Linked DNA regions of Rattus norvegicus. The protein of the gene in region 1 purifies or fractionates together with the protein of each later gene. This does not show direct contact. Links are inferred from orthologs where the notes say so. Each region holds a gene or a part of one and is shown in the gene's direction. Other genes may lie near its edges. The genes, in order: Eif4e, Eif4a1, Eif3b, Hhex and Angel1.

Region 1 (6,468 bases):
GGAAGGTTGAAAAAAAAAAAACAATACAAACAAATGTTATTTAAAACAAAAATTTTATATTGGTGGCTTTCAGGCTCGTCAGGATATTTTCTTGCCAATGGATTGGTTTTTGCTGTAATCTTGCAGCTCAAAACAGGATATTTATGCTGTCTTTTCCTTTCTTTGGATAGAGATTCTCCTGTTTCTTTGGCTGGCCTGGAACTTGGCATGTCACTGAGTTTAAACTCCGGATCCTCCAGCAAGCTGGGTTTATGTGGTGTTGTGGGATCTAAAACAGGGCTCTGGGCTATATGAGTACTCTATCAACGGAGCTACAAATCAGCCTCCTAGTGCTGTCTTTTCATAGGAATTAACCAGACATCACTTTACAGACAACAGAAAATAAGGGGTCAATTGTAATCACTTCGGTTAGTGTAACAGATTTGTACAGAGAAATTCACCTATGTTTAGTTTGCAGAACTGTGTCAACTTTAGAATCTACTCCTGCTGACTAAGCAAAAGCTTTCGTGTAAATCGCTTCTGCCATCCTGGTAAACAAAAAAACACAGAGCCCCGCAGTGGCTCTGAGTTCTTACACAGCCTCAATTATGTGTTAGTCAACCCAAGCATCCATTATGTACTCAATAATAGTTAATAGCTGTGACACAGCTCGGGACAACACTAATGCCATGGAGAGGCCGGCGCAGAGATAGCCTGCTTTTCCTGGTGGTAACATTCTTAAGCTTCCTGGAAACAGCTACGAGATCCTGTCTTCCTCATTAGAACCTTTACTCAACACGGTCTTGGTCTTGAGAAACGATGGCCCAGTAACTTAGAAGAAAATGTGGCATGCCAGTGTAGGGGCAAATTTCTGCTTGTTAGAAGTTGTTATGAACATAATTTCATGAACATGAAGTTTCTGTTGGGAGCAGCGACATTCGTAAAGAAAAGCAAAGTCTTGAAACTTTAAAACTGCATTGGTGTACGTAACAAAGTAAACAAAAGAAAAATTTAAAACATTGTTAAGGGTTGGGGATATAACTCAGTTGGTAGAGTGCTTATTTAGCACTCCGAAGCCCCGAGTTCCATCCCTCTCAGCAAAAAAGGGCTCTCCCCGCCCCCACTACCAGCACGTGCCAGTAATCCCAGTACTTTGACAGGGAGGTGGAGGCAGGAGGATCAACAGTTCAAGACCATCCTCCCCTACATCTTAAGTTCAAAGCCACCGTGCGCTACAGGAGACCCAGGGTCAAGAAAAAAAATTGTTAAAACAGCAGCGGAGGCGGAGGCAGCCGGTGCTTAGAAGGCACGCGCTTGCTTCTAGATTCCGAAGCGTTTTCAAAGCTGGTTACAGTCCTTACCACAGCACACCCTTGTGAGGTAAGTGTATTATCATCTTTGGTTCATAAATGAAAAAGCTGAGGCGCTGAGTGATTAAGTCACTCGCCTAAGGAGCATGAGTCAACGTCAAGAGTCATAGTTGACCCGGCTTAACGACTCCTGACCCTCAGTCCAGGGCTGAGTCAGCGGAGCCCGGAGTGGCTTCCCTGGCTGGCACCTGGACGTAGGCTATTTCCGTTCACGTCCAAGCAGAATACTGGAACCGATTGGACAGAACTTTCCAAACTTTTTACGTCCAGCAAGATTCACCCCTGACGCCTTCATCTCAGGACTGGGAACAGGAAAAGCCGACGCGTGCACTCCCCTTCCCCAAGCGTGTGAGTGGGTACCGTGGGCAAGCCCGCCCACCCGCTTGGGCAGCGATGGCAGCAAGGGACCACCCGCGTTAGTGGACCGGGGACGGGGGAACGCAGACCTCATCAACGACTCTCCATCGCCGCCTCTTTCTGAAACCAAGAGAAAATGGTGGGAGGCGAAAAGAAAACTAAATAAAAACACAAGCAACTTGTCTTAGGACCTCAGCTAAGCAAATGAAGCCTTCTTGCGTGTGCTGAGCCTGCAGTTCTCAACCTTCTAGGAAAGATGGGAGGACTGGGCGACAGAGGGCACAGCAGGAATGCCCAGCAGTGAGAGCAACCGGAGCTCTGCCCGCTGCACCGCAGAGGCCTAAAACCTACTCTGCAGGAAGTGCGGGCGGCGCTGGGAGCCGCGCACCCTCGCCAGCGACCACGTGATCACTTTTTTTTTTTTTTGGGAGAAAAAACTTCCTTGCCTTAAGAGAAAAAAAAAAAAAAAAAAAGAGACTCCACTTCCCAGAAGCCTCTTGTTCCCCAAGCAGCTGCAGTCTTGCGCAGGCGCCGCCAGGGCCAAACGGACACGTCCGTCACGTGGGCAGGAGCCGGCCAATCCGGTTTGAATCTCATTTTTTTCCTCTCGCCCCCCCTTCAGGAGCGGTTGTGCGATCAGATCGATCTAAGATGGCGACTGTGGAACCGGTGAGTATTGCCTTCGGCCCCCACCCCCGAGGTCCCCGCGCTCTGGCTTCCTCCGCTCAGGGACTGTCCGCAGGACGGCGTTCCCGGCGCGCACAGCGCCTCCGGCCGCGTCCTGCCCCTTTCCCACCGGCCTGACCTTCCGCGGGCAGCCTCGGCGCCGGGAGGCTGGCGGCGGCAGCGTGGAGCGCACACGCCGTGTGGGGGCCCGGGCACCGGGTCGGTGGGGGAGGGGCGCCGCGCGGCCCTGCGGTGCGGCCGGCGGAGGGCGGCTCGGGCCGCCAGCGCGGGATCGGTCTGGGGTCCCGGTGGGCGTGGGGCGGGCGGCTCCTAGCGGGCACCGTGGTTGGCGGGGCGGGTGGGCGGCGAGCTGGCCTGAAAGAGTCAGAGGGAGCCTGAGGCAGCGGCGCCTCGCCGTCGCCCGCGCCCCGCCGCCGGGGTCCTCGTGCGGGCCGCGCTCTCAAGCTGTGGAGGAGGGTGGGTTGGCGGAGCCGGTGGGCGCGCGGGGCCGGGCGGGCGGGGCGCGGCAAGAAGGGGAGCGCGTCCCGCGGGGAGCTGGGGGCTGTGGCGTTGAGTGGAGAGCACGCCCAGGGGTCGTGTCGCGCACCTCCGGGGGCCGGGGAAGGGGGCCGGCCGAGAAGGTGATCACATTGTCCTGGCCCCTCCACGCCGGGACTGGGCTGTCATGGAGGAGGGAAGGGGGAGGAGCGAGGCCTACAGTTCGCTCCAGCGGGTCGGCTGGCCGTAGACCTGCATTTCACACGCGCCGGGCTTCCATTCATTCATCCTCCCGGCGCAGTGCGCACGCCTCCGAGGACCGTGTAGATTCTTCTACTCTTACGCGAGGAGATCGTCTGGGAGATACTCAAGGAACACTAATTTTGGAAATAGGAACTTTGGAGATTATCTTTTCTTTAATTAAAGGAAGGAAAATTAAGCGTGGGGGCAGCGGCGCGAGCCAGGGCTTGAGTGTGAAGGTCAGAGGGCAGCTTTTGGAGTCCTGAGAATCGAAATTCAGGAGCCTTTTCCGAACCATCACTTAAGCGCCTCAACATCTGCTTTTCCACTGATGATTCCTCCTCACTCTACACTGCTTCCCTCTTAATTAAAGCGCTATTTTGAAGTTAATTGAAGCAAGATGCACAGAGAGCATCACGTAGGTAAACCCGGTAGCCAGAAGGTGGTGATTTTTTTTGTTGTTGTTTTTGTTGTGGTTTGGGTTTGCCGGCAGCTGGCTCACTGGTCTTCCATCCCAGATTTTTAAAGAATGTCACACCTGTGTGATAAAAATCTCAGGTGCAAAAAGGCATAGACTAGCAACCAGAAACCTTTGTATACCACCTTTGCCAGATATTTTTAAAACTCACCCATAGACTGAATAATTTTGATTAGTTTGCAAAACAGCCTTATCTTGGCAGAATTCAAGACTACTTTTTTGTGGGTGGAGGCATGATTTACTTGTTCCTTATTGACATCAGCTTTCCTGCATTTTGCAAAGCTGCCTAATAAGTTGTTAGTGAAATTAACTAACTTTAGAATATCAATGTAAGAACAGGAGGGGAAGCATTTAAATTTAACTTAAACTCTTGACAAGTTCTGCCGTCTACTTCTGACTGAATCTTCTACCTTTCTCTACCAGTATTAGAGGAAAATATTACAGGTAATAATAGAGGCAAAACTAAAAAGACCTAAGTAATAAAACAGCAGTGTGAACTATGACTCTCAGTTCCATTTAAGTCTTGGATTGTGCTAAAGCCACAATGTAGTCATTGGATTTTGTTCTGAGTCAGCTCAGAGTTGCTGATACCTTTTGGGTGGTTACCAAGTGATATTTAGAATACAAAGTTATATAAAATGCGGTCTGTGCTTTGTGAGCTCTTATGGAGCCTAACTGCCAGTGTCAGGCTCAGAGGTGAGATACTCTTCCTACTGATGACCCTGTTGATGTGCATAGTGTGTGTAAATTTAAGGACAAGAGAAGCCTAGAAGCCTAACATGTGAAGGGTGGAACTTGGGTTGAAACTAGTTGGAGACAGTGTGCAAAGTGACACTGAGGTGCTCATTTTCTGTTTACTGTTAGCACACCCTTGCTTAGAGGCTAGTCATACAGTATTTTAATATTTGTAAGATTTTTTTTTGGAGCTGGGCGGTGGCTGCGGGCTACTTTCATCCCAGCACTAGGGAGACAGAGGCATTTCTTTGAGTTTGAGCCCAGCTTGTTCTACAGAGCTAGTTCCAGGATTCCCTCCAAACTGAAAAGATTTGGTTTGGATGCTTGATTTGTAGCTCAGGACCTGGTGCATTTACTAAGTTTATTCTAGCACTAAACTACACCAGTACGTTGTTTTTGAAGTACTTTATTCAGAGGCTTGGCAGAAAGGTTGTATGTAGAAGCCCACGTTGTCTGCTGTCCTGTGCAGGGCAGACCTTAGAGGTATCCCCATGGCTTAGAGCACACTAGTACTTTTTAAAAACAGATGATTTAGTCTACTATTGGATTACAGTTGAAGCTTGTAAAAATTAAAAATCTTATTTGGTCATTGCTATTTTTATTTAGCTTATGAGCTTTTGTGAGTTTTTTGTTTGTTTTGGTAGAGTATTTAATTGTAAACACTTAGAACACTGGTTCTCAACCTGTGGGGTGTGACCCTTTCGGGGGGGGGGGTGTCTAAGGACTGAGCTGCCTAAGACCACCAGAAAATACAGATATTTACATTGATTCATAACAATAGCAAAATTAGTTAGAAAGTAGCAGTGAAAATGGTTTTATTGTATTGGGACCACTATAACATGAGGAACTGCATTAAAGGGTCACAGCTTTAGGAGGGTTGAGAACCACTGACTTGGAGAGTCATGAGCTGTTGATTTTTCTCCCCCTACATATCCAACCTTTTGTAAGCACTTGCCAGATTTTTAGTCTATGGAGTTTCCATAAAGTAATTTTCAATTTGATGCTACATGGTTTTAAGTATTCGAGCTTAGTTATGTAAGTAATGGGTTACAAATATAAATTGAGAAGTTCAAAGGGGAACATTAAGGGAAGTACATTGCTCCACAGAACTTGTGGCAAAGGCTACACTCATGTTAAGCTGGGAATTGTGGCACGGTCAAGATTAGACTCTGGTAAAACTGTCCTCAGCCATGTTTCTAGTGACTCGTGCTTCTTTTAGATAGCTCGCTTTTCTTCTGCTCTGTTTTTCCTTGTTATTAGAGAATACTTTACATTAGTCTTTAATTAGAGGATAATTTCTTGTGGTTTTTACTTTTGGGTTTGTGTAGCCATTGTTGGCTTGGAACTTACTATTTATTTGGACCAGACTGGTTAGCCAAAAATTTGAGGTGGGGGTGGGAGTTCTTCCTATACTTTCTCAGTGTTGGGATTTACAGGTATACAGCACCACACCTAGTCCAGATAGTTCTTTCTTTTTCTTTTCTTTTTTTTTTTCCGGAGCTGGGGACCGAACCCAGGGCCTTGCGCATGCTAGGCAAGCGCTCTACCACTGAGCTAAATCCCCAACCCCCAGATAGTTCTTTCTTTATGCTTAGAAACCTGCTTTTAAAATAAGACTTAAAACACAAGAGAAGCCTGCTGTGGTCGTGCACACCTGAAATCTGAGCACTCAAGAGTAGAGGCAACAGAATTTTGAATTTTGCTTAGCCTACAGCAAATAAAATTGAGCACAAAAAGGTCCAGTGAGATAGATGGCTTAGGGGTAAAGATGTTTGTTGCCAAGCCTGAGGATCTGAGTTGGAGTGCTAGAACCCTCATGGTGCAAATAGGACCTCTTGTAAAGTTGTTCTCTGACCTCCAGGTCCACACCAAGACAAACACACACACACACATAGTAAATAAATATACATTTAAAAAGCTTTAAAAGGGGCTAGAGAGGTGGCTCATCAGTTAAAGCACCTCAAGAGGACTTTTCCCAGCCCCCACATGGCAGGTAGCTCACAACTGTCTGACAGGAGTTCAGGAGAACCTTCACACCAGGCACACACATGCTGCACAAATCTGTGTGTGCCGGCACACTGCCCATACACATGGGAAGAAAAGCTTTGAAAGAAAACAGGAGCACCAAATACTATAAAATGTAGT
Region 2 (5,178 bases), on another chromosome or scaffold:
TGAGAAGCCCTCTGCCATCCAGCAGCGAGCTATTCTTCCTTGTATCAAGGGTAAGACTCATTATCAGGCTAGATATGGACTGTCCTGATCTGCATAGTGTGTATGGGGTTGGTGGTGGGCATAGCAATGGGGGTTGGGGGGACAACAAATTACCTTTCCTAGCTTCTTGGTTCTGGGGTTTTATTTTGTCATGCCTTAGAGGGGGTTGCCATTTCCAATTCGAGGCCTTTATTATTGCTTTATGTCTAACCTAGCCAGCTGTGTTTGAGTTCATAATGTTCTGGTAGATGGCACCAGCCTTGTTCCATTACTGATGTCAGGAAGTCTCACAGGTGTCCTCTGAGCCTAAGGTGCAGACTTTTTACACATCTAACTCTTGATCTGGTTGTAGGTTATGATGTGATTGCTCAAGCCCAGTCTGGGACTGGGAAAACAGCTACATTTGCCATATCCATTCTGCAGCAGATTGAATTAGATCTAAAGGCCACTCAGGCTTTGGTTCTGGCACCCACTCGTGAATTGGCTCAGCAGGTAAGATTGGTGTTTCCAATTCTATATGACTGCTTTAAGAGTTCAAGAAGAGTCTGCCAGTGGTGATGATACTGGTGACCCAGGCATGTGGAGCACTTCAATTTTAAGGCCAGTCTGGTCTACAAAACTAGTTCCAGGACAGCCAACACTTAGAGAAAGCTTGTCTTAAAGAGACAATTAGAAGATCAGGTCAGGTACGCTCTTGTATGCCACTGGGATTTGTTGACAGCTTCTAGATCTATTGAGATTGGTTTGCCTAATTACTAACAACTTTTCTACCAGGAAAAAAAAGCACTTTAAATCCATTTTCTGAGTCAAATAAGGAAGGGAAGAGTATTGTTAGAATCTAGCTGGCTGGGCAGGTTAAACTGTGTTTACAACAAACATACCACCCCCTGGACATGGGCAAGGAGACACCATGTTGGTGGTGTTGTTCCTATATCAGTCAGGGGCAGAGCAGATGTAGGCCTTTGTTCATCCTAGCTTGATGCCTGGCTTGGTGGCCAAAGCTGTTTCATGCCTAGGGCACATGAAATCCTGGTGCTAGTCTGTTAACTACTATTTCAAGCCTAGTGATCACTGAAGCAAGCATCTGGGTAGCAATGTAAGCAAGACGTGATAAGAGGATTGACACCTTAGAACCCTGTAGATCTACTTATTTTGGGGGTTTGCTTATGAGCTCAGCATGGATCACTAAGTCTTGGTTCTGTAGCAGGGATGGAATAATCACCTTGTGGGTATAGATAGGGCTGTGTTCATAATCTCAGCCTTTGGAATGGAGTAGTAGGATGTAGTGTGAGTTGTTTGTAGAGCTGGCCTGGTTTTTATGAGGCTGCATGTAGAGTGGGAAACTTACTGTGAACCTGTGTGGACGGATCCAGCATTGCCATTTGGTGGCGGTATTGGTGGTGTTGGAAGAGGATTAAGTGGATTCCTGTTTCTCAGTTGCTAAGAGTGGGATAATTCCTGTCTGTAATAAGAAAGACTTAACTCACTGGTACTGCCCAAGTTAATGTAGATGCCTTTCTACATTTAGATTCAAAAGGTGGTTATGGCACTGGGAGACTACATGGGTGCCTCTTGTCATGCCTGTATTGGGGGCACCAACGTGCGTGCTGAGGTGCAGAAGCTGCAAATGGAAGCTCCCCATATCATCGTGGGCACCCCTGGCCGGGTGTTCGATATGCTTAACCGGAGATACCTGTGTGAGTGCCATGGAACAGTTGTTGGGCTCTTTTCTACATTTCATTTCCTTGGATGAGTTTTCCTTTAGTTGGAATTGAGTTGCTCTGTGATGAACCCCATGCGTGTCATCTGAGCCTGGCTTCCCTGTTAACCTTAGCCCAGGTAGTGTTCTACTTACCAGGGCTTTTGCATGACCTATCAGGGAAGCCGAGGGCAAAGGATCAGTCCTTGCATTCTGAGAGCAGACTGTCTGCCTTCTGCCTGCCTTATCAAGAGACCTCAATATATTTCACATTTGTCTGATTACTATATGTTGGGGTTTTTTTTTTCCTGCCATCTAGCACCCAAATACATCAAGATGTTCGTCCTGGATGAAGCAGATGAAATGCTAAGCCGTGGGTTCAAGGATCAGATCTATGATATATTCCAAAAGCTCAACAGCAACACACAGGTAAAACAGATGGTGTTGGAGGGACGGTGGCTCGGTTGTGATTTGATTGTACAGTGCACTCAATCATGGCTGGGGCATTTTTCCCACTAGGTAGTTTTGCTGTCTGCCACAATGCCTTCTGATGTCCTTGAGGTGACTAAGAAGTTCATGAGAGACCCTATTCGGATTCTTGTCAAGAAGGAAGAGTTGACCCTGGAGGGTATCCGCCAATTCTACATCAATGTGGAACGAGAGGTGGGGCCCAGTGCAGGAGGCGGGCCTGGTAATAAGTGTTGGGTATAGCTCCTGATTGATGTTTCCTGATCTCCAGGAGTGGAAGCTCGACACATTGTGTGACTTGTATGAAACACTGACCATCACCCAGGCAGTAATCTTTATTAATACCAGAAGGAAGGTGGACTGGCTCACTGAGAAGATGCATGCCCGGGATTTCACAGTTTCTGCCATGGTGAGTTTTCTCAGTCTTGTTAATGATAGATGTGTCTTTGTGTGTTAGGAGCCTTATGCTAGCTGCTCCTAACCTTGTTTTCCAGCATGGAGATATGGACCAAAAGGAACGAGACGTGATCATGAGGGAGTTCCGGTCTGGCTCTAGCAGAGTATTAATTACCACTGACCTGTTGGTGAGTAGATGCTCTTTTAAGGAAAGAAAGGGAGAAAATAGCCCAAGGTGATTCCCTCTCCAAAGGGCTGACTATGTGCCCTTTTTAGGAACGTAGCAACTTGGAAGAAAGCCAGGCATGTCCAAGGTCTCTGGGGAACAAGGAATACTTGTTTCCTTTGCCCTCCTTTGGCAGCCTACATATATGCTTACTAAATTAGGGTTGATAGTGTCCTCTGATGGCTTTATTCTTTCTTGACCTAGGCCAGAGGCATTGATGTGCAGCAGGTCTCCCTAGTCATCAATTATGACCTTCCCACCAACAGGGAAAACTACATCCACAGGTATTTACCTGGTCTGACAGATCAAACACTCCCTGTGCTTAAAAAAAAAAAAACACGTTCCTTTCCCCAACCTAACGCCTTTTTAAACTAACCTCCCCCCCCCCCCCCCAGAATTGGTCGAGGTGGTCGGTTTGGCCGGAAAGGTGTGGCTATTAACATGGTGACAGAAGAAGACAAGAGGACTCTTCGAGACATTGAGACTTTCTACAACACCTCCATTGAAGAGATGCCCCTCAACGTTGCTGACCTCATTTGAGGGGCTGTCCTGCTACCTGGCCCTAGCCCAGGGTTCAGTCCTGGGGGCAGGGCTGAGGAACAGCTGGAGGGGGGAGGGAAGGGAGCCAAGGGATGGACATCTTGTTTTTGTTTTTTTGTTTTGTTTTTTTTTTCTCTCTCTCTCTCTCTTTGAATAAATGTCACTTTTTGAGGCAAAAAGAAGGAACCGTGAACATTTTAGACACCCTTTTCTTTGGGGTAGGCTCTGCCCCAGGCGCCGTCTCCTTCCCCCCCAAACACTAATGCATTTCCCTAACCTAATCACCTCATTCCTAAAGGCTTTCCTACCCCAGCCAAATCTCCAAAAGTGAGTCAAGGGGCTAAAACATGGCTGGCCTCATTTGCTGGACCAAATCTACAGGGAGAACCCCCTGAATGAGGTTGTCCAGGGACTTGTCCCCAGGTGAGGGGAGCAGGGGAGAGAAAATGGTAGCCATTTTTACATTGTTTTGTATAGTATTTATTGATTCAGGAAACAAACACAAAATTCTGAATAAAATTACTTGGAAACTGCCTGTTTGGGCTTCTTGTTTCTTCCCTTCCCTCTCCTGCAGTTACTAGTGTGGTTCAGCTGCCCCTGCACTAGTTCTTTCCTGAATTTGCCATGTTGCTTCCTGAAATACCAAATGACCCACACTACTGAAATTTGGTAGTGGGCTTTAGCACAAGACACAAGTGTCACTTGCTCCCAGTTTTGAAAAAGTAGTAATGGGTTCAAAGACTTCAACTGGGTGTTAGTCATAACCCAAATGTGGGTGCTAATTACCTTGGGTTCTGTAGCCCTTGCTGTCCTGCGGTTATATAGGCCAAACTGGCCTTTTGGGTCTGCTTGCTGCCTTACAGTGCTGGGATTGAAGCACATGGGTGAGGGTGAATTTCTTACCAATGAGGAAAAGGCTTCCTGTTTGCCTGCTTTGTAAACTGCCAAGTAGAGCAAGTTTTGGCTTAGGTAAGTTCCGTGTGAGTCAACTGCCTCATCCTCACATGGTAACTAAGACTACCGCCCACTGAGAAGGCCACTACCAATCAGTGCTTAATTGTGAAAACATTTAAATTACTTTAGCGGGTGGCTAGAGCTGAGGTGCCTGAGTCAGGTTTGGGGTGGGATTACTTTGGTTAAGGGAAGTAAGAGTTTTCATTTCCTCTTCCAAGAGAAGAGGGGATTGGGTTGAGGAAGGAGCTGTTACAGCCTAGCTGGACTCAGCAGCTCTACCATGAGGTTCCCTGTGTGTCTGACCTTGCTGGTACTGCTTGTAGGTAAGGAGAATGGGAGGTGGGAGAGAGGGAGCTCCTGGGCAGGAGCCGGCACCTGGGTTATCAACTAATCTCTTAATGAAAGCCCAAGGAACAGGGAAAGACTGTCCTCACAAAAAGGCTGCTACTCTTCTGCCATCCTTCACGGAGACACCTACAACCACCGGAAGCACAGCAAGCCCTACGACCACCCACAGGCCCACCACAACCAGCCACAGGCCCACCACAACCAGCCACAGGCCCACCACCACCAGCCACAGGCCCACCACCACCAGCCACAGGCCCACCACCACCAGCCACAGGCCCACCACCACCAGTCATGGGAATGCCACAGTTTCTCCCACCACAAACAGTCCAGGCTTCTCCACTGTTGGCCCTCACCCTGGACCACCTCCGCCCTCACCAAGTCCTAGTCCAAGCTCTACTGGGGCTCTTGGAAACTACACATGGACTAATGGTTCCCAGCCATGTGTTCAGCTCCAAGCCCAAATTCAAATTCGCATCTTGTACCTGACCCAGGGTGGAAAAAAGGTAAA
Region 3 (5,668 bases), on another chromosome or scaffold:
ACCATTAAGGTTTTTTTTTGTTTTTTTGGTTTTTTTTGGTAAGAAATAAATTTTAAGTACAGTAGAGACAACACAGTTGTAACTTGTAACAGTGTGAGTCTGAGCTTGAGGCAGCCTCAGCCTGACGGCACTCTAGACCACAGCTGCTGGGAAGTTCGTGGTGCCTCAGTGTGGGCAAGCACTGCCAAACGCAAGACTGCTATGTGTTTGAGATTCTGGGTGTGGGTGTGGAATTCTAATTCATGGTTTTTGAGAGGCTGTGAGCTATGTCTAGATAATGATGTGAGACTCTCAATCTGGACATAGCACTTTACTAGAACTTGGAGGACTTTCAATCCTGTCTTCTTACCGCCTTAAGGGTTGATCACTTCATGTAGTTCTGAGCTCACGGGAAAATACAGTAGTGTCATCCTCAGATTCTCAGCCACTCATACTAGAAGCTGAAAGGGATAGATTGCTTTCCTGGTAATCAGGTGGACTTCACATTTCTGCATACAAATGTGCTTCTGTTTATGTAATTTTATGTTTTTCTCATCCAAAAAACAGTGTCTAGGGATGGTGTGCATGACTTTAACCCTAGCACTCAGGAGGCAGAGGCAGTCAGATCTCCAAGTTTAAGACCAATTTGGTTTGTATAGCAAATTCCAGACTATCCAGGAATACACAGTGACACCCAAGCTTTTCCTTTTCTAAAAGGATTTATTTATAAATGAGTACACTGTAGCTGTCTTCAGACACCAGAAGAGGGCATTGGATCCCATTACAGATGGTTGTGAGACACCATGTGGTTGTGGGAATTGAACTCAGGACCTCTGGAAGAGCAGTCAGCACTCTTGACTGCTGACGGGTCTTGACTCTGACAGGGTCTTGGCCTTTGGTTCTGGGTATTCTTGAACTCAGTGATTCTCTTGCTTTAGCCTCGAGTGCTGTATCACAGGCACGCACTACCAAGCCTGTCCCAACTAATTGTTCTCAAGATGTAATTCATATACCAAAATGCTTTTAAGTGGCGAGCCGTCTCCCTGACTTTGGATATGTTTAGTAGGTCACACAGGCATGCTAAGCTGCCTCTCCTTTCCACACTGCTCCTTGGTCCACCCTTCTATTTTTTGTCCCTATGCCGGTGTCATTCAGACAACCCCCTGATTGCTGGTCAAATGTTCTATTGAGCTATGCCTCCATCCTTCTCCTCTCCTCACTCCCGACAGCCTCTGGTTTGCTTTCTCTGGGTGTCTCTGTTAGGAACATTCCCCTGCAGCCTGTGACCCTTCGTGTCCAGCCTCTCTGACCTCACCTTTTTTCTTCTTCTTTTTTTTTTTTTATTTTTTTTTTTTTTGGTTCTTTTTTTTTTTTTTCAGAGCTGGGGACCAAACCCAGGGTCTTGCGCTTCCTAGGCAAGCGCTCTACCACTGAGCTAAATCCCCAGCCCCAGACCTCACCTTTTTTTATATTGTAGCATGCATCAGCATTTCATTCTATTCTTTTTCATAGTTGACTGGTATTCCAGCACACACATGCATCCACATGTTAGTGGGCTGGCATTAAGGTGGGCGAGTAGTTACTGAGTCTGCTGCTGGGTTTAGTGCTTTTGAAGGTCATGGTGCAGGTTGCTCTACAGTGTGCAAATCCATCGTTCCCTCTGGTAAACTCCGGTAGATGTGCTGCAGAGTGTGCTTGGGCTATGCTGTCATACCAGCCTCGGCACCACATCAGGGTTGTGGGTGTGCTGGTGAGTGAGTGCTGTCTTCTGTCTGATCATTATTTGTACCCCCATATTTTCATGCCTTCACCTTCCAGAGAATTACCCTTCCTGTTTTGCTTTTGTCAACAGGGAGTTGTCACAAATTTTGAAATCTTCCGAATGAGGGAGAAGCAGGTTCCTGTTGACGTTGTTGAGATGAAAGGTAAGCAGGAAGGGCCGTCGTGCCCTTGTCTTGTACAGCTTCTATGTGAGATAGGTGTTCAGAGCGGCGTACTGAAGTGGGATCTCAGCAAGAGCAGCTACCCCAGATCACCCTGACCTAGGTTAGATCTGCACATAGGTTAGGTTGGCTAGCCACAGGACCCTCCTGCCTGCCTTCCTGCCCATTATAGGGCTACAGGGGCACACCATGCCTGGAGTTACCTTGAAGAGCTTCTTGCTGGTTGTATTTTTGTTTTTTTGTTTTTTGGTTTTTTTTTTTTTTGGAGCTGAGGACCGAACCCAGGGCCTTGCGCTTGCTAGGCAAGCGCTCTACCACTGAGCTAAATCCCCAACCCCTGCTGGTTGTATTTTTGACTGATTTTGTTTGTGTCTGAAATATATTCGTTCTATGCCCATCTGCTCTTGAACACCAATCTTTCTGCCTTGGCCTCTCGAGTATTGGAATTGTAAGCCTGTGCCACCAGGCTTGGCCTGCCTTCCCTTTTTCTCTCTGGAAAAAATAAAAGTATTTCTTTTTTAAGTGGGGTATTTTGAGACAGGATCTCACTATGTATTCTTTGGTACCTGGAATTCATAGAGATCCACCTGCCTTCACCTCCAAAGTGTTGGGATTAAAGGCAAGCACCACCACCGCCCAGCAACATAAAGGTTGATGTACTTTTACTCATATGTTAGTTCCATCCTTAGTCTTAGTGCCTGTGCCTCTCATTGGCTTTCAGTTTGTTTCACTATAGAAGACCACAGCTAAGTTGTTAAGTCCTTAAGTCAGTTAAGGAAAGACAGTTTGGTGGCACCTGCCTGTGATCATAGATTGCAGGAAGCCAGGGCTGGAACAGTCCAAGTTCTAGGCTGGCTTGGACTTGTTATTAACACAACATCCCAACCAGATAAACCAAGTGCTTTTGAACTCTGCTGACTTCTCTTTGCTTTTGCTGTCTTTTGATCTGTGGTCCTGCCAGTAGATTAGGAGTGCTTTTCTCCAATTGAATGAAGATCTTTGAAAATGGAGATTTTGTTATGAAAGATTAGGACAACTGACTCCTCTTTCCTGCTGGTTGTAGAGACCATCATAGCCTTTGCCTGGGAACCCAATGGCAGTAAGTTTGCTGTGCTTCATGGTGAGGCCCCTCGGATATCTGTCTCCTTCTACCACGTGAAGAGCAATGGGAAGATTGAACTCATCAGTGAGTAGTCTGCCCTTGGCCTCTCTCTGCAGAGCTCAGGGGCCGGGATTCTAGCTGTGCGGGAGATGATAGCAGGTTGGGATGACTCAGGACAGGGGGCACATACTTCATATCCACCGAGCCTGGAGTGAGTCAGTAAGTTGGGCCTTACTGCCCCTGCCCTTCAGCCTGGCTTAGCCCTTGAGTCCTCTGCTCGGCTCCGGCAGGAAGGGGTGTTCTCATTCCCTTTCCTGCAGCAGGGCTCACCTAAAAGACACTCCCCTTTGGCATGGGGGCCACGTGTGGCCTTGCTTAGACTCCCAAAGGGCTACTGCCTACTCTTCTTGTCTTTGTTGTGACAGCCCCACAGCAGGGTTAGGGCTTAGGGCAAGCTGAACCTAAACCCACAGTGTTGCCCTCACTGGGATGGAAATACAGGCTGTATTTCATAAGTTCTTTATAGGACACCAGCTACCCTGTTCCCTCTGCTGTAGCAGTCATACCATGGTTTCCTTGGACTTCTGTGAACAGTGTGCTTTCCCTTCACCTGGGTCTAACCATTTGTGACAGAATTAGCTAGTGTGTTGTAAAGTCCACTCTGGTGTTGGTTCTCTTGGATATGTAAGAGGTGGACAATTGCAGACAATCAAAAGGTTTCTGTCCCATTATAACAGACACCAGGAGACGTGTCATTTATCCCCCGGATCTCTGTGATTCAGCTCTCACCAGGGTCACAGTCAATGCTCCTCTGTGCTTTGGGGCCAGATGGGACATTTGTCCTGCAGCTCTCTGTGAATGTGAGACTCTCCCCTCCCCACCCCCCATATGGGAAGATGGCTGTTTTGCCAAGACTGAGAGAGGCTTTGGGTGACCTGGGTTATTGCCGCATTTGCTTTGTCAGTTTCACCCAGGGTCAGGGTGACTGGGAAGATGGTTTGCTTGATGTTCTGTAAGCACACTGAAAGATGGTGATTTTGGTAGCTTGGCCCATGGTGCTGTTGGTGGACACTAAGGGCTCCCGAGATGAGTCAGTGTATTTGCTGTCAGTGCAGTCTTTGCCTGTGAAGCTGAAAATAGTATCCACCAGACTTCTGTAATAGCCAGCAGCCACCACCCAGAAGCATGCATCATGACTTTAGGCATAACTGAACGGGGGCGGGGGTATGATTTTGAAATAGTTCTCCCAAAGTGGCTGGTGGGTTTGTGTTGGAGTCGTATGTGCACTCTGCTTCTGTCAGCTCTCCTCACCAGTGTGGCACTGTGTCTTAGCTGGAGAGGCACCGGCACAGTCCCTCACAGGAACTTATTTTCCTTGCAGAGATGTTTGACAAGCAGCAAGCCAATACCATCTTCTGGAGTCCCCAGGGGCAGTTCGTGGTACTGGCCGGGCTGAGGAGGTGGGTTGGGGCCCTGCCCGCTAAGGCAGCGTCCTGCTCCTGATGGTTTGTGTTGGTGGAGTGCATCATCTCACTAGATATTTATCACAGCCAAGCCTCTGGCCAAACCAGGCTGATTGAAGTAGTGACTTGCAGATGACATGTCCTCTGTGATCGTAGCCGTGCACCCCTCCTGTGAATCCCACGTCTTCCAGTGGGACAGATGCATAGCTGGAGGCTGTCCTGCCCTCTGGTTGGGGTGCCTTTCACTTGTTCCCCTGCATTCCAGCTGAGCACATAGGAGTAGTGAGCAAGTCCAGCCCTGCCCTCTGCTGGGAAGGACTACTGTGGCTTGCTCCCACCATGGACGCTTCCACACACAACATCTTCTCTAGACGCCACAGAGCACTGAGTACACCATTCATGTCCTTGGGAAATTTGTCACTGTGAGGGCGATAGGGCCCAGGGAACTAACTTCAGCCCAGCAGAGCCCTTGGTCCTTTCTCACCCTTGTAACTCAGTTGGAGTGAGGGGCATTGGACCTCTCAGTAGGGTGCAAGGGGATTGTGGGATACAGCTGCCCTGTCATCCCACAGCATGAATGGCGCCTTGGCGTTTGTCGACACTTCAGACTGCACCGTCATGAACATTGCAGAGCACTACATGGCCTCCGACGTCGAATGGGACCCAACTGGCCGCTATGTGGTTACCTCTGTGTCGTGGTGGAGCCATAAGGTAGACGATGGCAGGTGCTGGGCCCTTGGGGAATGAAGTCTCTCAGGGCCAGGGACAGATACTGTTTTCTGTAGGATTGTTGTATCCAGGGACCCCAGGGTGAGAGGGCATTACTCACGAACTTTTGTGGCTTAGGGAGACAGTTTGGTCCACTGTTTCTCAAACTCACTGCTGAGAGGCCAGCTGCTAGAGCATTGGGCATGTCTGCTTGGCAGGGCCTGCTGGAGCATGGGTCACTGCCTCCTGTGTTTACCATTGGGTGGACAATTGAGCCAGTCCATGCAAACAAAACCTGTGAGCTCAGAGGGCTCCAGCTGATGAGATGACCTCTTGCTTGCCAGATGGCTTTGAGTAGTATCTGGCATAGCACTCTCTGTGTTCGTTCATTCCAGGGTGTGCTGTCTGGAACCCATCCCAAGTGCCAGTGCAGCACAGCCCATCCCAACACTTGTTTAATTTAGCATCTTGTA
Region 4 (6,385 bases), on another chromosome or scaffold:
ACCAATAAAACTTCCTACCTTAGAAAGTAACTATTTATTACTGTGTTTGGTGCGTGTTTGGGGGCACTCCAGCCATGGTGCTACAGTGGAAGTCTCTCTGTCTCTTTCCCTCCCCCAGGCCCCCAGTAGGAAGCCTGAGTCCTTGTGTTTGCAGCATTAGAGAGACTATCTCCCAGGGGCTGAGCCACCTCACTGGCCTCAAATGTTTTATATTTTTCTGGCATTCCTCCGGCTTTCCCACCCACCACTCCTTTATTTCACTTGAGTTCACTGAGTGCCAAGATAGTACCATTTACTTCGTGTTTTCTAAGCTTCGCTACTGTGTATGATGTGCCATGGACTTCTTCTTTTCCAGTTTTTAATACTGGAAACTTTGAAAGCTACCATGCAGATAAAACTATAGCACGACAGGAACCTGCATGTTCTTCCCAACTAATATTTTGTACTGTGGAATCCCTTCTCCCTTCCATCATGTCTTCCGTGGATCGAAGCTCAGGTTACCGAGCTAGCACCTCAACGAGGATGTATTTTTGAAAGCTTAAATAACCGGGAGTTTGCCCACTTCTTGGAGCCCCTTCAAGCAAGATGTTTTTGCCCTCACCAGAAACCTCACAAGGTTTAGTTCTCCAGCTATTCAGTTTACTGTCTTTCCAGCCCTGCCCCCTCTTCTTCATGGCGGGTGCGGTGTGAAATTAATCGTGTTTTCCTCCTATGGTTCACATAGAAGAGTGGACACACGGATATATATCCTTATTAGGCCCCAAGGTTTTAATTCAAATAACAACGCTTGGCACTCATTTGGTTTGTCTGTGCTAGTGGCTTTTGCCTGTCATTATTCTGAAAGATGTCCGTGACTCCATCCCCAAGCAGTTAGGAACCTTTATGTCAAGTCCCAAACGGGTCAGGTGAGAAAGCCCAGGGCAGTAAACTGACCTGAGACTGCACTCAAGCACTCCTCTGACTTGGCCTCATCTTAGGCTCCTTGACACCTACTTATCTTTCAAACATCATTTCCTTTGAGAAGACTTTTCCTTTCTCAAAGTGACTCTCTCCTTTATCCGAAATGAAGGGCCGGAGTTCCTTAAGGTTTCCGACCCTAACACATGATTTCTCCCTAGTATGTAGGTTACTGTGTTCGTTTCCGGCTTCCACTAGGGCAGAGACCGCCTCTCTCATTTGCTAATGACGCACAGTAGGTGCTCAAGTAAATAATGCGCGAAGTGAAATCCTGGTCCTCTGGCTACCAGTTTTCTCTTTCACCTTCAGTCCCATTGCAGATGAAGATATAATTCCAAAAGATAAAACTTAATATCTCAATTGAAAAAACAAAAATGTCAGAGTTTTTCTATTAATAGAAGACCTTAGCTGAAACTGCCCAACTCGAGGTGTGGTCACCACAGGAGGGCGTCAATCAAGAAAATGCCCCTTTGGCCCAGAGGCGAGCAAGCCGCAGAGTCGAGGACACACTGAGCAGCGAGCCACGGCTTTGAATAGAAAACACGTGTAAAACCTCAGAGCCCGGCTGCGTGCAGCTGCGTCCTTCAGGGCCGGGGGACAGAGGTCCAGGAGCCTCCCACACCCCATTGGATCGAAGAACACTGCATAGCCTCGGTCCTGCACCAGACGCTGTCTTAAAACCGGTCTGGAGCAGATTCTGTTAGCATCTAGGGAGGTGGTCGAGTTAGGGGGGTCCCCAAATAGAGTCTGGAGCACCTGCAGTCTCGCTGTCAGTACCCGTCTGGGACGCAGACAGCGGCTAGGGTCTTCTCCTTGGAGCTCCGAGCTGCGGAGGCCCCCCCGTTCGAGACAGTGCCACCGTTACCCCAAGCGCAGCCTCCTGGGAGATGTCCCAGGCGCCCGAAGGTGCCGTCCTGCCCGCGGCTCCCTGATCCGCAAAGTCCCATCGCTTCTCCAGGTGCCAGAGGCCTCCCGAGTGTCGGCAGTGGCGCCATCCCGCTGGGATCCGCGCCTCCAGTGCATACCATGTGTTCTCTTCGACGGTCGCAGTCGCACACTAGGTGCCTGGAGCCTCTGGGAGCGCGGGCGGCGGAGGAGCCCCGGGGCGGAGGGTCCCTAGAGCTCCGCGGCCCGTGCGTCTCGGGGGCGGGAGCTGGGCCGGCGGGGGCGGGTCAGGGCGGGGGCGGAGGCGAGTCCGAGGCCCGCGCCATTGGCCGCAGGGCCTGGCGGCAGGAAGGGACCGAGTGCGGCCCCACCCCGCGGCGGCCAGAGCCTATCGCCGGGAGCGCAGAGCGCAAATAAATGTAGCGCGGCCGCGCGGGCGGGCAGCTCTCTCCGAGGGGCTGCGGAGCAGCCATGCAGTTCCCGCACCCGGGGCCCGCGGCTGCGCCCGCCGTCGGAGTCCCGCTGTACGCGCCCACGCCGCTGCTGCAGCCCGCTCACCCGACGCCTTTCTACATCGACGACATCCTGGGTCGCGGGCCCGCCGCTCCCACGCCCACTCCCACGCTGCCGTCCCCCAACTCCTCCTTCACCAGCCTCGTGTCCTCCTACCGGACCCCGGTGTACGAGCCCACGCCGGTCCACCCCGCCTTCTCGCATCACCCCGCCGCCGCGCTGGCCGCTGCCTATGGCCCCGGTGGCTTCGGAGGCCCTCTGTACCCGTTCCCGCGGACGGTGAACGACTACACGCACGCCCTACTCCGCCACGACCCCCTGGGTAAGGCGGCCGGGGTTGAGCGAGGGCGTCCGTGAGGAAGGCGCTCCCGGCGGGAGGCGACGGGGGCGGACGGGAGGCGCAGTCGAAAGTTGCGGTGAGCGCTCTGGCGGGCGCGCGCGGGGACAGAAGGCGCGGGGCCCCGGTGGCGCGCAGCCGGTGCTGGGACCGCTCGGCGACTCAGATTGCTTTTCTTGCACCTTGCAGACATCGGGGCAAGCGTAGTCGGGAGAGACCTGGGGCTCTCGGGAAAGTGGTGGAGGGCGGCCCTGGCCACTCGTGTGGGCCCCGGGAGGGGTTCCCTTAGGGAGCAGCACTGGGAAGAGGACGTCGGGACGCCCGGAGCCTGGCCCCTGCAGGGCAGGGAGAGCTGCCGGCCCGGGCGGTTCCTGGGCTGGGCTTGGTTCAACAAGCTTGTGCAGTGAAGGAGCCTGACCCTTTCCGTTCATACAGGAAATCTTGAGTTCTCGATAGGAGTAAATCTGGTTTCTGAAGCTGTTAAGTGTTTTCCTGGCTGCATGAAGCAGACCCTTCCCCCGGAGTAGTGCACGCTGCTGATTATTTTATCGACATCCTCAATACAGACAAATTCAGGAAACACTCGACGTCTGATAGCCAGGATCCGTTTTTCAGATATTGTTCATTTCCTCTGTGTGGGATGTGACTATATGGCAGCTAAAATAACCAGTTGCTTCCTCTCTGGCTCCCCCCGCCCCCCATCTTTGGAGGCTGTTTTGCACCAAGTCTGAAGCCTGACGCAAGCAAAATCTCGAAAAAACAATGCCAGCTTTCAAAATGTTTAGGTGTAGGCCTGCGGACAGAGAGACGGACGGACGGACAGACAAACGTACCATCATCACTCTGGAGTAGGAAGGTGCAGATCCCAAACAGATAGGACTCTACACATTGACTACATGGGATTTTTGAGGCTTGTCCCCACAATATTCCTAAAAAATAGATAAGCAACGGTGACTGGGTTCAGGGCCTCAGTCCCTCGTAGCCAGCGAGCGGGCTCTAGAGTGAATAAGAACCGGGCTCGCTAAAGTTTAAACTCAACAGTTTGGCAGCTTAACCGGGGACTCCGAGACAATTAATATTTTAATGAATTGGCATTTTAGTGTCCGCATTATTAAGAGCAGCCTCCAGCGCTCCTCTCTTCTCACCGCTACAGGGATTTGGGGTGTGGGTATTTTTGTTTGTTTGTTTTTGTACGTAAATTTTGTATTTAAAAATGTCAGCATGTAGAGTGTGTGTGACCACCCCCAACTCTGTACCCTCTGGGGCAGGACCGGTCCCGGGCAAACGGTTTCACGTAGCTCGCCCTGGTTTCCTTGGGTTTCTGCTAGGCCTGAGCAGAAGGAAGCAAAGCTTTTTTTTTTTTTTTTTTTTGAGACAGACCAACAGGAAACACATTGACGGAAATGTTGCCATAGCCCATGGGGTGGCTTTAACTGGCCGCCCCCGCAGGCTGAGTGTGAAATCAGAGGAGGCCGGGGCGCGCTCGAGCCACATCGGAGGCCCCACTCGAGGCCTAACACCGGCGCCCTCCGAGCGCTTCTGTGCAGCCAGGCCCTGGGAAGTGTAACAACCCTGCTCCTCTCCTAAATGCACACAGTGCGTCTTTTGCAAATGTTAGTGCATACAGAAGAGTCCGTTCGGTTAAATAAGATAAGGTTTAAGCCCGGCAGGGGTTCTTTGGGGGTTGAAAAGATTTGTTTGCATTTAGCCACAGGTGTGTTGGGCGGCTAGTGCGTGTCTTGAGTATCCAGAGGTGATCTGTGAGGCAGAAGAGTTTAGCTGACTGTGCGCATTGGTGGAGAGTAGTGTGGAAAGGATCCGTATTTTAATGTCCGCTTTCTTGCCTCCCCATTGTGTCACTGGGGACCATGTAGGTCGGGGAACCGTACAGAGGGACCTAGGGCCTTGGTTCACCACAGCTTTTCTGGCCCACAGGCAAGCCCTTGCTCTGGAACCCCTTCCTACAGCGACCTCTGCACAAAAGGAAAGGCGGTCAAGTGAGGTTTTCCAACGACCAGACCATCGAGCTGGAGAAGAAGTTCGAGACTCAGAAATACCTCTCCCCACCTGAGAGAAAGCGTCTGGCCAAGATGTTGCAGCTCAGCGAGAGACAGGTCAGACGCTCCCCCACACCCTCACTCCCCACCCCCAAACACACCAGCTAGCGAGAAAGTCATTAAAGTCATTGCGCTGTGGGCGCCGCAGTATACCACAACCCAGCTGCACGGCCCCATAGCCCAGGTCCCTTCTTCCTAGGTCCCTCAGGATTTGGGACTTTCTTGCAAATCTGCTTTCTTTTCTGTAGGTCAAAACCTGGTTTCAGAATCGCAGAGCTAAATGGAGACGACTGAAGCAGGTATGGACGTGGCTCTGTTTCTATGGAAATAAATGTTTGTGTCGGTGTTATCTAAATGCGGAGGCCTGTTACGGGTTGTATGCAAAAGTCATTTGAGAGACTATTTAACCTCTTCACCTTGATTAAAAAAGCAAATACTCCTGCTGAAATCCAGGATGAGTCGCTCAGGTGTCACTAATGCTAAAAGCACCTAATGCAGTTCCTATATCCATTATGCCAGGGTTTCACACACCGGCCAGCAAACCGCCCGGCTAATTGTTTTATAAACCCCATATGTTGTTTATCTCATTAACGCAGGAAAGATAAAGTAATTGACAGTAAATGACTTAAGTAGTTATCTTTGGGAGAAAATTGTTTCTTTTATTTACACACCCATAATAAAACCAGGCAGGACTCAAGGGTAAATATAAAGACACAAACACTGTTAAGCCCTGTTTGCACTTTTTAAGAAAGAAGACTTAAATATCAAAAGAGTTTTCAAAGTTATTACCCATCCTGGGCCAGCTCTTAAAAAAACGAATATGAAACGCAGGAAGAAATGCCCTCACCCGATTGGAAAGTAACTTAAACTTCCTGATAATCTTTCGATGACCTTGTTAAGAAATAGGGAATAGAGAGGAAAGGCCAAGTCCCCCTCCAGAGCAGCCCTATTGACTTAGAGCTAAAGATTTGCTCTTGCTGTCCCAGTCTGGACATTTCCAGAGTCACCTGACAACTGCTGAATGGTTCACCTGGCAGTGCTTTAAATAACAGAATACTTTGAAACAAAATAACTTGGTAATGGGGAGGTTTTAATGTGAATTGTAAACTATTGCTCCTACTTTTAAATTTTTCTTAAAAAAAAAAATGCTGTCCCAAAAGAACATTTTGAAACAACAAAATAGCTTCCTGTAGCTTCACTGTTCTTAAATATTTGAGGATTCCCTCTCTCTAACCTTGTACATCTTTTGCAAACTTGGTGACTAGAGAATGATAGGGTTTCTGTGTAATACTTACATCCAGATCAGACATCTACATGCCTTAAAAGCCACTGGCTGGACTTGGCTTGAAGTAGTTTCCCAAGGACTTTTAAAATAGTGCTTTCTGTGTAATATGGAAAAACATTCCTTCCAGGAAATCTTGCCTAGATTTTAAGCAAATTGCAAACTCTTTTATCAGTATTAGTTTGGTTCTGTGATTTTTTTTTTTTTTTGTGACCGCAATCTTGTAATTTGGTACATATTTATTTTGTATGTATGTTCTGGTAAATTTACTAAAGAAAACAAATGGAAAGGGATTCAATCTAATAATTTTTCAGACTTTTAATGTAGTCTATGTTGTTCCTCTTCTCCTTGTCT
Region 5 (5,668 bases), on another chromosome or scaffold:
TCAAGGAGGCTCCTTTTTCTGTGATAACTCCAGCTTGTGTCAAGTTGGCATACAAAACAAAACAAAACAAAACAAAACAAAAAAAAGGATTTATATGAACTCTTAGAGAAATGTCTGGTAGAGTTCCCCAGCAAAGTCATCAAAGTCTGGGCTCTCCTTGCTGATTCAGTCTCTATTTGTTATAGGCTTAATCAAATTTGCTGTTTCTTAAGTTTACATTCGCTTGTGTCTCTCTAGGGTTTTTTTTCACTTTATGTAAATTATATATTTTTAACTTTTTCCTTTATTTACTTTTTGTTTGGCTGGCTTTTTTTTTTTTCTCTGAGACAGGGTTTCTCTGTGTAGCACTGGCTGTCTAGGAACTCACTCTGTAGACCAGGCTGGCCTTGAACTTTGAGATCTATCTCCCTCTGCCTTCTGAGTGCTAGAATTAAAGTTTGTTTACCATTTTGAGACAGAGTCTCACGTCGGTGGTAGCTGGCCTGGTGCTAGCTATGCAGACCAGGCTGTCTAGATAGCTTTGTGATAGTTTCACTGTCATAAAATGTATGGAGGTCAGAGACCATTTATGGGAGTCAGTTCTCTCTACCCTGTGGGTTCCTGGGATCTCTGGTTGTCAGGCTTGGTACTAAGTACCATTACCCACTGAGCCATCTCCCTGTAATCTGTTTGTATAGTTTATAGTGTTAGCTTACAGATTTTTTTCCCTATAGATTATAAATGACAAATCAACTCATTGCCCCCCCCTTTAAATTCTGGGCTCTGTACTTTACACTGAGGCCCAGCTGAGGCCCTCCTCCATGCTTGAGTTTAGTAATTTGATTGCTAAGAATTTGTCAGTGTCAACCCTTGTTATTTTATTAATATCAGCAAATGTGCTGGTTGTCACCTAAACAAAAGATAGGGTCATCTGGAATGTGGGGACCTCAGTTGTGAAAAAGTTCCCACTCCTGTAGGAAGCCTTGGGGTGAGGCGTGTATGATGAATGGTTGGTGTGGGAGGGCCCAGCCTGTTGTGGGTGGTGCCACCCCTGGGCAGGTGGTCCTGGATTATATAGGAAAGCAGGCTGAGCAAACCAGTAAGCAGCACCCCTCCGTGGCTTCTGCTTCAGTTCTTACTCGAAGTTTCCTGTCTTGAGTCCCTGCCCTGACTTCCCTCAGTGATGGAGTACGTAAGCCAAAACCCCTCTTCTCCCCAAGTTACTGTCCATTCTGGTGTGTATCACAGCAATAGAAACTGGACTAGGATAGTGAGATTTGTAAAATACCTTGTTTTTTTCTGATGTTGGCATTTGTATTTTCTTTATGAATGTATATACAACATAGCTGTGTGTATGAACATGTGTGTCTATATATGTACTACACAGTGGATGGTGTGTGATAGAAAATATCTAGAGGAAAGTATAAGGAATTTGATAGCATTGGTTGTCCCTGTACAAGAAAAATGAAATGCAAGGGGTGAGTGGAAGGACTCTTGACTGATTAACTTTGTTTTGATTTTTGAACCATATGACTATGCATACGTAAAAAGTGCAGAGTATTAGGGGCCTCAGGTTTCCAGCCTTGGTTCATCTCCCCGTCTCATGACTGTTTCTTTTACCTTCCCTCCTCCCAAACTCCTGGAGCAGTGCAGACTGAGAGGGATCTGAAGGTGAAAGGTTCTGACTCTGTTGTACTGTCTATGGAAAACAAATCCCCACCTCTTTTTTCTGGCTTCCTACAGATCGACCTGCTGGTTGGGCCGAGTGTATCTTTGAGGAAGAGATATCTGAACTTGAGCCTGTCTTCCCCAGGTAAACGTGTTTGCAGTTTTTAGTCTGAGCATGAGAGAGCACTGGCTATACTGAGGCTGACTGGAATACTTTTTGCTAAGCTCTCAGTCTTCCACGGTATGCTTAGACAGCACATGCATGCATGCGAGAGTCAAGGTGAAAAGCCTGTATAGCCTTTCCTTGAGGGAGAAGCCTCTGAGCAAACTTGCTGGTCCTGCTGGTCCACATGAGAGACATTGGTGTTCTTTATCAGGAGAATGGGAAGTGGGGATGAGGAGTATCAGGGTCTCAGTGTTCATCTGTTTCTAGACTGAGTTCAGCTGAGATCGCCAGCCGCTTATTAATATGGGAAGGAATCTGCTGGTTGAATAATGTATTGATTTTCCTGTTGCTGTGATAAAAGGTCACAAGGGAGAACAAAGCCGTACAGATACAGATACAAAGCCATAGTGAATGTCAAGGCTTTGCTTGCTTTCTCCTTTTGTTAAGACCAAGACCTCTGCCTGTGGAAGAGTGCCACTCATTTGGTCTTCCTGTCTCAGTCTATGTAATTCCCCACAGGCATGCCCAGGGGTGACTCTAAAATCCTGTCAGGTTGACAACATAAACCATTGCAGCTCTACCCCTCGGCTAACCACATCACTTCTAAGCCAAATCTTTGTTCTCCATGTTCCCATGGGTTCATGACAGGTTCATGAGGCAAATGTATTCAGCCCAACATCATAAGTTCCCATGTCTAGCAATTCCAACACTATTTAAAATTGTAGGTGAGGAGACTCAGGAAATCTCTTAAATGTAAGCAAGCCCCTGTATAGTAAAAGGGAAGTTGGATGTGGAGGCATACATCTTTCATCACGGCACTCATCTCTGTGAGTTTAAAATCAGCCTGGCCTACATAATGACGTCTAGGCCAGCTAGGGCTACATAGTCTCAAAACAACAAAAACAAAACAAAAACTAAAAGCAAAGGTGAAGCAAAACAAAACCCAAACAACAACAACAACAACAACAACAACAACAACAACAACAACAACAAAAGAAGTTACGTATTTCCAACATAGAATGACACAGAGTAAACACTCCCCTTCCAAAGGACTAGGACCCAGCAGGGAAAACACTAAGTGCAGCTCCATGTTGGCATCTAGGGCTCATGATAGAATCATCTGGAGTCCAAAAGACTTGGGTAACCCCACCTCCAGCTCTGCTGCCTGCAGCACACGTTGTTTCTCCTTTGGGCCAGCTCTGTTCCATTCATCCGGCTTCCCTTGGTGAACGTTCCATGAGTCATCTCTAAAGGTCCTGCTATCTTAGTTACTGCTCTGTTGCTGTGATGAAACATGACCAAGGCAGATTTTAAAAGAAAGCATTCAGTTGGGGGTGGCTTACACTTTCAGAGGATGAGTTCATGGCCATCATGGCGGAGAGCATGGTGGCAGACATGCACAGGGAGGCAGCAGTAGCTGAGAGCTTACATTTTGATCCGCAGGCAGCAGGCAGAGAGGTGGGTGAGAGAGGTGAGAAAGAGGGGTGAGAGGAAGAGAAGAGAGAAGGAGAGGAGACAGAGATAGATACACACACACACACACACACACACACACACGGGGTGGGGGTTGGGAGACACTGAGTGGCTGAGCCTATTGTGGGCTTTTGAAACTTCAAAGCCCACCCCCAGTGACACACTACCTTTGAGAAGGCCACACCTCCTAATCCTTCTCAGACAGTTCCACTAACTAGGGACAACGCATTCAAACATGAGTCTATGGGGGCATTCTCATTCCAAGTACCATACCTGGGGTCTCCAGGGAAACTCAGACTTTATCTTCATAACCTACACAGCTATACAGAACTTCCTTTCAAGGACTATAACCCAGCTATACATTGTTGGGTGTCAGCAGCATCTGAAACCATCATTAGAGATTATCCTTTAAAAAAATCTCCATAAAACCCACGGAGAAATTGGCCGGTGGGAAATATAATGTGTTTTGTTAGCTGACTTCTTACCTTCTGTCCCTGTAGGACTATAGGCACCATCCAGCACTGCCTCCACCTGACCTCAGTATATACCCATTTCCTGCCCCAGCACGGCCGCCCGGAGGTCACGACGATGCCCTTAGGTCTTGGGATGACAGTGGATTACATTTTTTTCTCAGCTGAGTCCTGTGAGAATGAGAACAGAAGTGGTAAGACCATTGAGTCAGGGGTTTCTAGAAGCCACCCCAGGATGCCTGGGAATAGCAGATGGCAGGTTGGGTTTTGGTGGCTTGGCTTGGGCTCCAGGAGCAGATGTCATACCAGCTTTGTGCTCATTCTTTATGCAGGCTACCTACCTTACGTGCTGCTCTTTTCCTGGGGTGCCAGGGCTAGGGCAGGGAAGTCATTCCTAGTTCCACCATGGAGATAGAAGTATAGCATGAGACGTAATTAGACTTGTCTAAGGGCAGAAGTCGGGGAGGGACTTGGTAAGGTCAGACCCTGTTTTTTCTTGCCAGTAGTCACAATGAGCAGTTCACTAGTCCCATGCCTAGTTTGCTTATTATTTTTAGAATGTTTGAATTAATTGCCTGTTTAGAATCGTTTTATATAAGGAATCTATATTTCTGTACCTCTTGAAAAATCAAAAACCTTGTAATGTTAGGTGCAGGACCTACCTGTATCCTATTTGTTCCTGTGTCCCTGTACCTGTCTTTATTCACTGATGTTATCACAGGGAAACCTTCTAGTCAGAATGCCAGATGTTGTGCGTGTGTGCGTGAGCGCATGTGTGCGTGTGTTGTGTAGACCATTTAATTTAAAGTGAAAGTTCCACCATGCAGTACAGCTGGTGGCTGCTGCACCTACTGGCTTCTGCTTTGTGCCCCAGATCACAGGTTGGATCGAGATGGAACCCTCAAGCTCCTGGGCCGCCTCTCCCTCCTCTCTGAAGAGATTCTCTGGGCGGCCAATGGCTTGCCCAACCCGTTCTACTCTTCAGACCATCTCTGCTTGCTTGCCAGCTTCGGCATGGAAGTCACTGCCCCATGAGGGCCCCCAGGGAAAGAGCTCACTGGACCGACGACTGCAAATGCCCCGTGCTGTGGAAACTTATGCCCCTTCCCTTGTTCCCTCCTGCCCGTGGTTAGACTTTCTCCAGGCCTGTCCACGTTCTCGGCCTGTGGTCCCTGCCCTGCCCCAACCTCTTCCTAATCCTGTGCCACATGCTAGGTGGCCCCGGGAGAGGTAGAGAGCATCCCCTTTCTTCTGTGTACCCAGCGCCCCCTTCCCCCCCATTGATTTTTAATGACCAGGGTTGCGGGAGTTATTGATCTCATTGGTTATTCGCTTTAGGCCATTTCTTGGTGGCACCCTCTGACCCAACCTTCCCCTTCCTTTCATGACCTCTGGGCTCTGGCATGCACATGCAAGGTGTGTGTAAAGCATGAGTTCTCTTGGGGTGGGACTGCCCAGCACAGCCAAGCCTGCTTCTGCCTAGTCCATGTGCCACCATGAGGTACTGGACTAGGGGCAGGTGGAGAGCATGATGTAGTAGCTGTGTGCTGCCAGGAGGCAGCAAGCAGGGGCCCTTTTCTCCCAGTCAGTCATCTAGGCATCCTGGGCACACTTGTTATTTCTGGAGACAAACTGGCCCACAGCCTGGAGCGGTAGCCCAGGGATACCCCACACCTCTGATCTCCTCACTGACTTCCTTGAGGAAGGCGGTTGATGCCTTGTGCTGGGGCTCGCTGGGCTGGCACAGTGCTGGGAGGCTTTAAGGATGAGGAGACTCCACCTTCAGGGAACTGTTGTCTCACCAGACTGAGGAACTGGGTAAGAGGCGGAGCCCGGTAGAAAGAGCAGGAGGCTCTACAGCCTTAGCCAGCACTGGAGCCCCAGAGGGCTTGACCTCTGACCTCTGTGCACC

Evidence for each region.
Region 2: the proteins of Eif4e (region 1) and Eif4a1 purify together in Homo sapiens (affinity purification with mass spectrometry; 8 studies listed by BioGRID and IntAct, counting the BioPlex papers as one, with this or other methods). This does not show direct contact. The link is inferred for Rattus norvegicus from reciprocal best matches to the Homo sapiens genes EIF4E and EIF4A1.
Region 3: the proteins of Eif4e (region 1) and Eif3b purify together in Homo sapiens (affinity purification with western blotting; 5 studies listed by BioGRID and IntAct, with this or other methods). This does not show direct contact. The link is inferred for Rattus norvegicus from reciprocal best matches to the Homo sapiens genes EIF4E and EIF3B.
Region 4: the proteins of Eif4e (region 1) and Hhex purify together in Homo sapiens (affinity purification with western blotting; 3 studies listed by BioGRID and IntAct, with this or other methods). This does not show direct contact. The link is inferred for Rattus norvegicus from reciprocal best matches to the Homo sapiens genes EIF4E and HHEX.
Region 5: the proteins of Eif4e (region 1) and Angel1 purify together in Homo sapiens (affinity purification with mass spectrometry; 3 studies listed by BioGRID and IntAct, counting the BioPlex papers as one, with this or other methods). This does not show direct contact. The link is inferred for Rattus norvegicus from reciprocal best matches to the Homo sapiens genes EIF4E and ANGEL1.

The regions. Positions count from the first base shown.
Region 1 is NC_086020.1:229,738,409-229,744,876, forward strand, and holds the start of Eif4e (eukaryotic translation initiation factor 4E), read left to right. Parts: upstream 1-2,344; 5' UTR 2,345-2,357; coding exon 2,358-2,375; intron 2,376-2,777; exon of another isoform or gene 2,778-2,849; intron 2,850-6,468. UniProt on the Homo sapiens protein: Acts in the cytoplasm to initiate and regulate protein synthesis and is required in the nucleus for export of a subset of mRNAs from the nucleus to the cytoplasm which promotes processes such as RNA capping, processing and splicing.
Region 2 is NC_086028.1:54,881,818-54,886,995, reverse strand, and holds the end of Eif4a1 (eukaryotic initiation factor 4A-I), read left to right. Parts: coding exon 1-50; intron 51-391; coding exon 392-531; intron 532-921; exon of another isoform or gene 922-1,064; intron 1,065-1,567; coding exon 1,568-1,736; intron 1,737-1,817; exon of another isoform or gene 1,818-1,959; intron 1,960-2,057; coding exon 2,058-2,167; intron 2,168-2,257; coding exon 2,258-2,401; intron 2,402-2,477; coding exon 2,478-2,615; intron 2,616-2,700; coding exon 2,701-2,790; intron 2,791-2,830; exon of another isoform or gene 2,831-2,973; intron 2,974-3,032; coding exon 3,033-3,112; intron 3,113-3,223; coding exon 3,224-3,368; 3' UTR 3,369-3,903; downstream 3,904-5,178. Other genes in the region: Cd68 (macrosialin precursor), read left to right, coding at 4,603-4,645, 4,728-5,173. UniProt on the Homo sapiens protein: ATP-dependent RNA helicase which is a subunit of the eIF4F complex involved in cap recognition and is required for mRNA binding to ribosome.
Region 3 is NC_086030.1:19,313,263-19,318,930, reverse strand, and holds part of Eif3b (eukaryotic translation initiation factor 3 subunit B), read left to right. Parts: intron 1-1,831; coding exon 1,832-1,904; intron 1,905-2,985; coding exon 2,986-3,108; intron 3,109-4,405; coding exon 4,406-4,484; intron 4,485-5,059; coding exon 5,060-5,198; intron 5,199-5,668.
Region 4 is NC_086019.1:244,600,643-244,607,027, forward strand, and holds the start of Hhex (hematopoietically-expressed homeobox protein HHEX), read left to right. Parts: upstream 1-2,302; 5' UTR 2,303-2,313; coding exon 2,314-2,677; intron 2,678-4,627; coding exon 4,628-4,806; intron 4,807-4,997; coding exon 4,998-5,048; intron 5,049-6,385. UniProt on the Homo sapiens protein: Recognizes the DNA sequence 5'-ATTAA-3'. Transcriptional repressor. Activator of WNT-mediated transcription in conjunction with CTNNB1.
Region 5 is NC_086024.1:112,080,920-112,086,587, reverse strand, and holds part of Angel1 (protein angel homolog 1), read left to right. Parts: intron 1-1,722; coding exon 1,723-1,792; intron 1,793-3,786; coding exon 3,787-3,950; intron 3,951-4,630; coding exon 4,631-4,791; 3' UTR 4,792-5,668.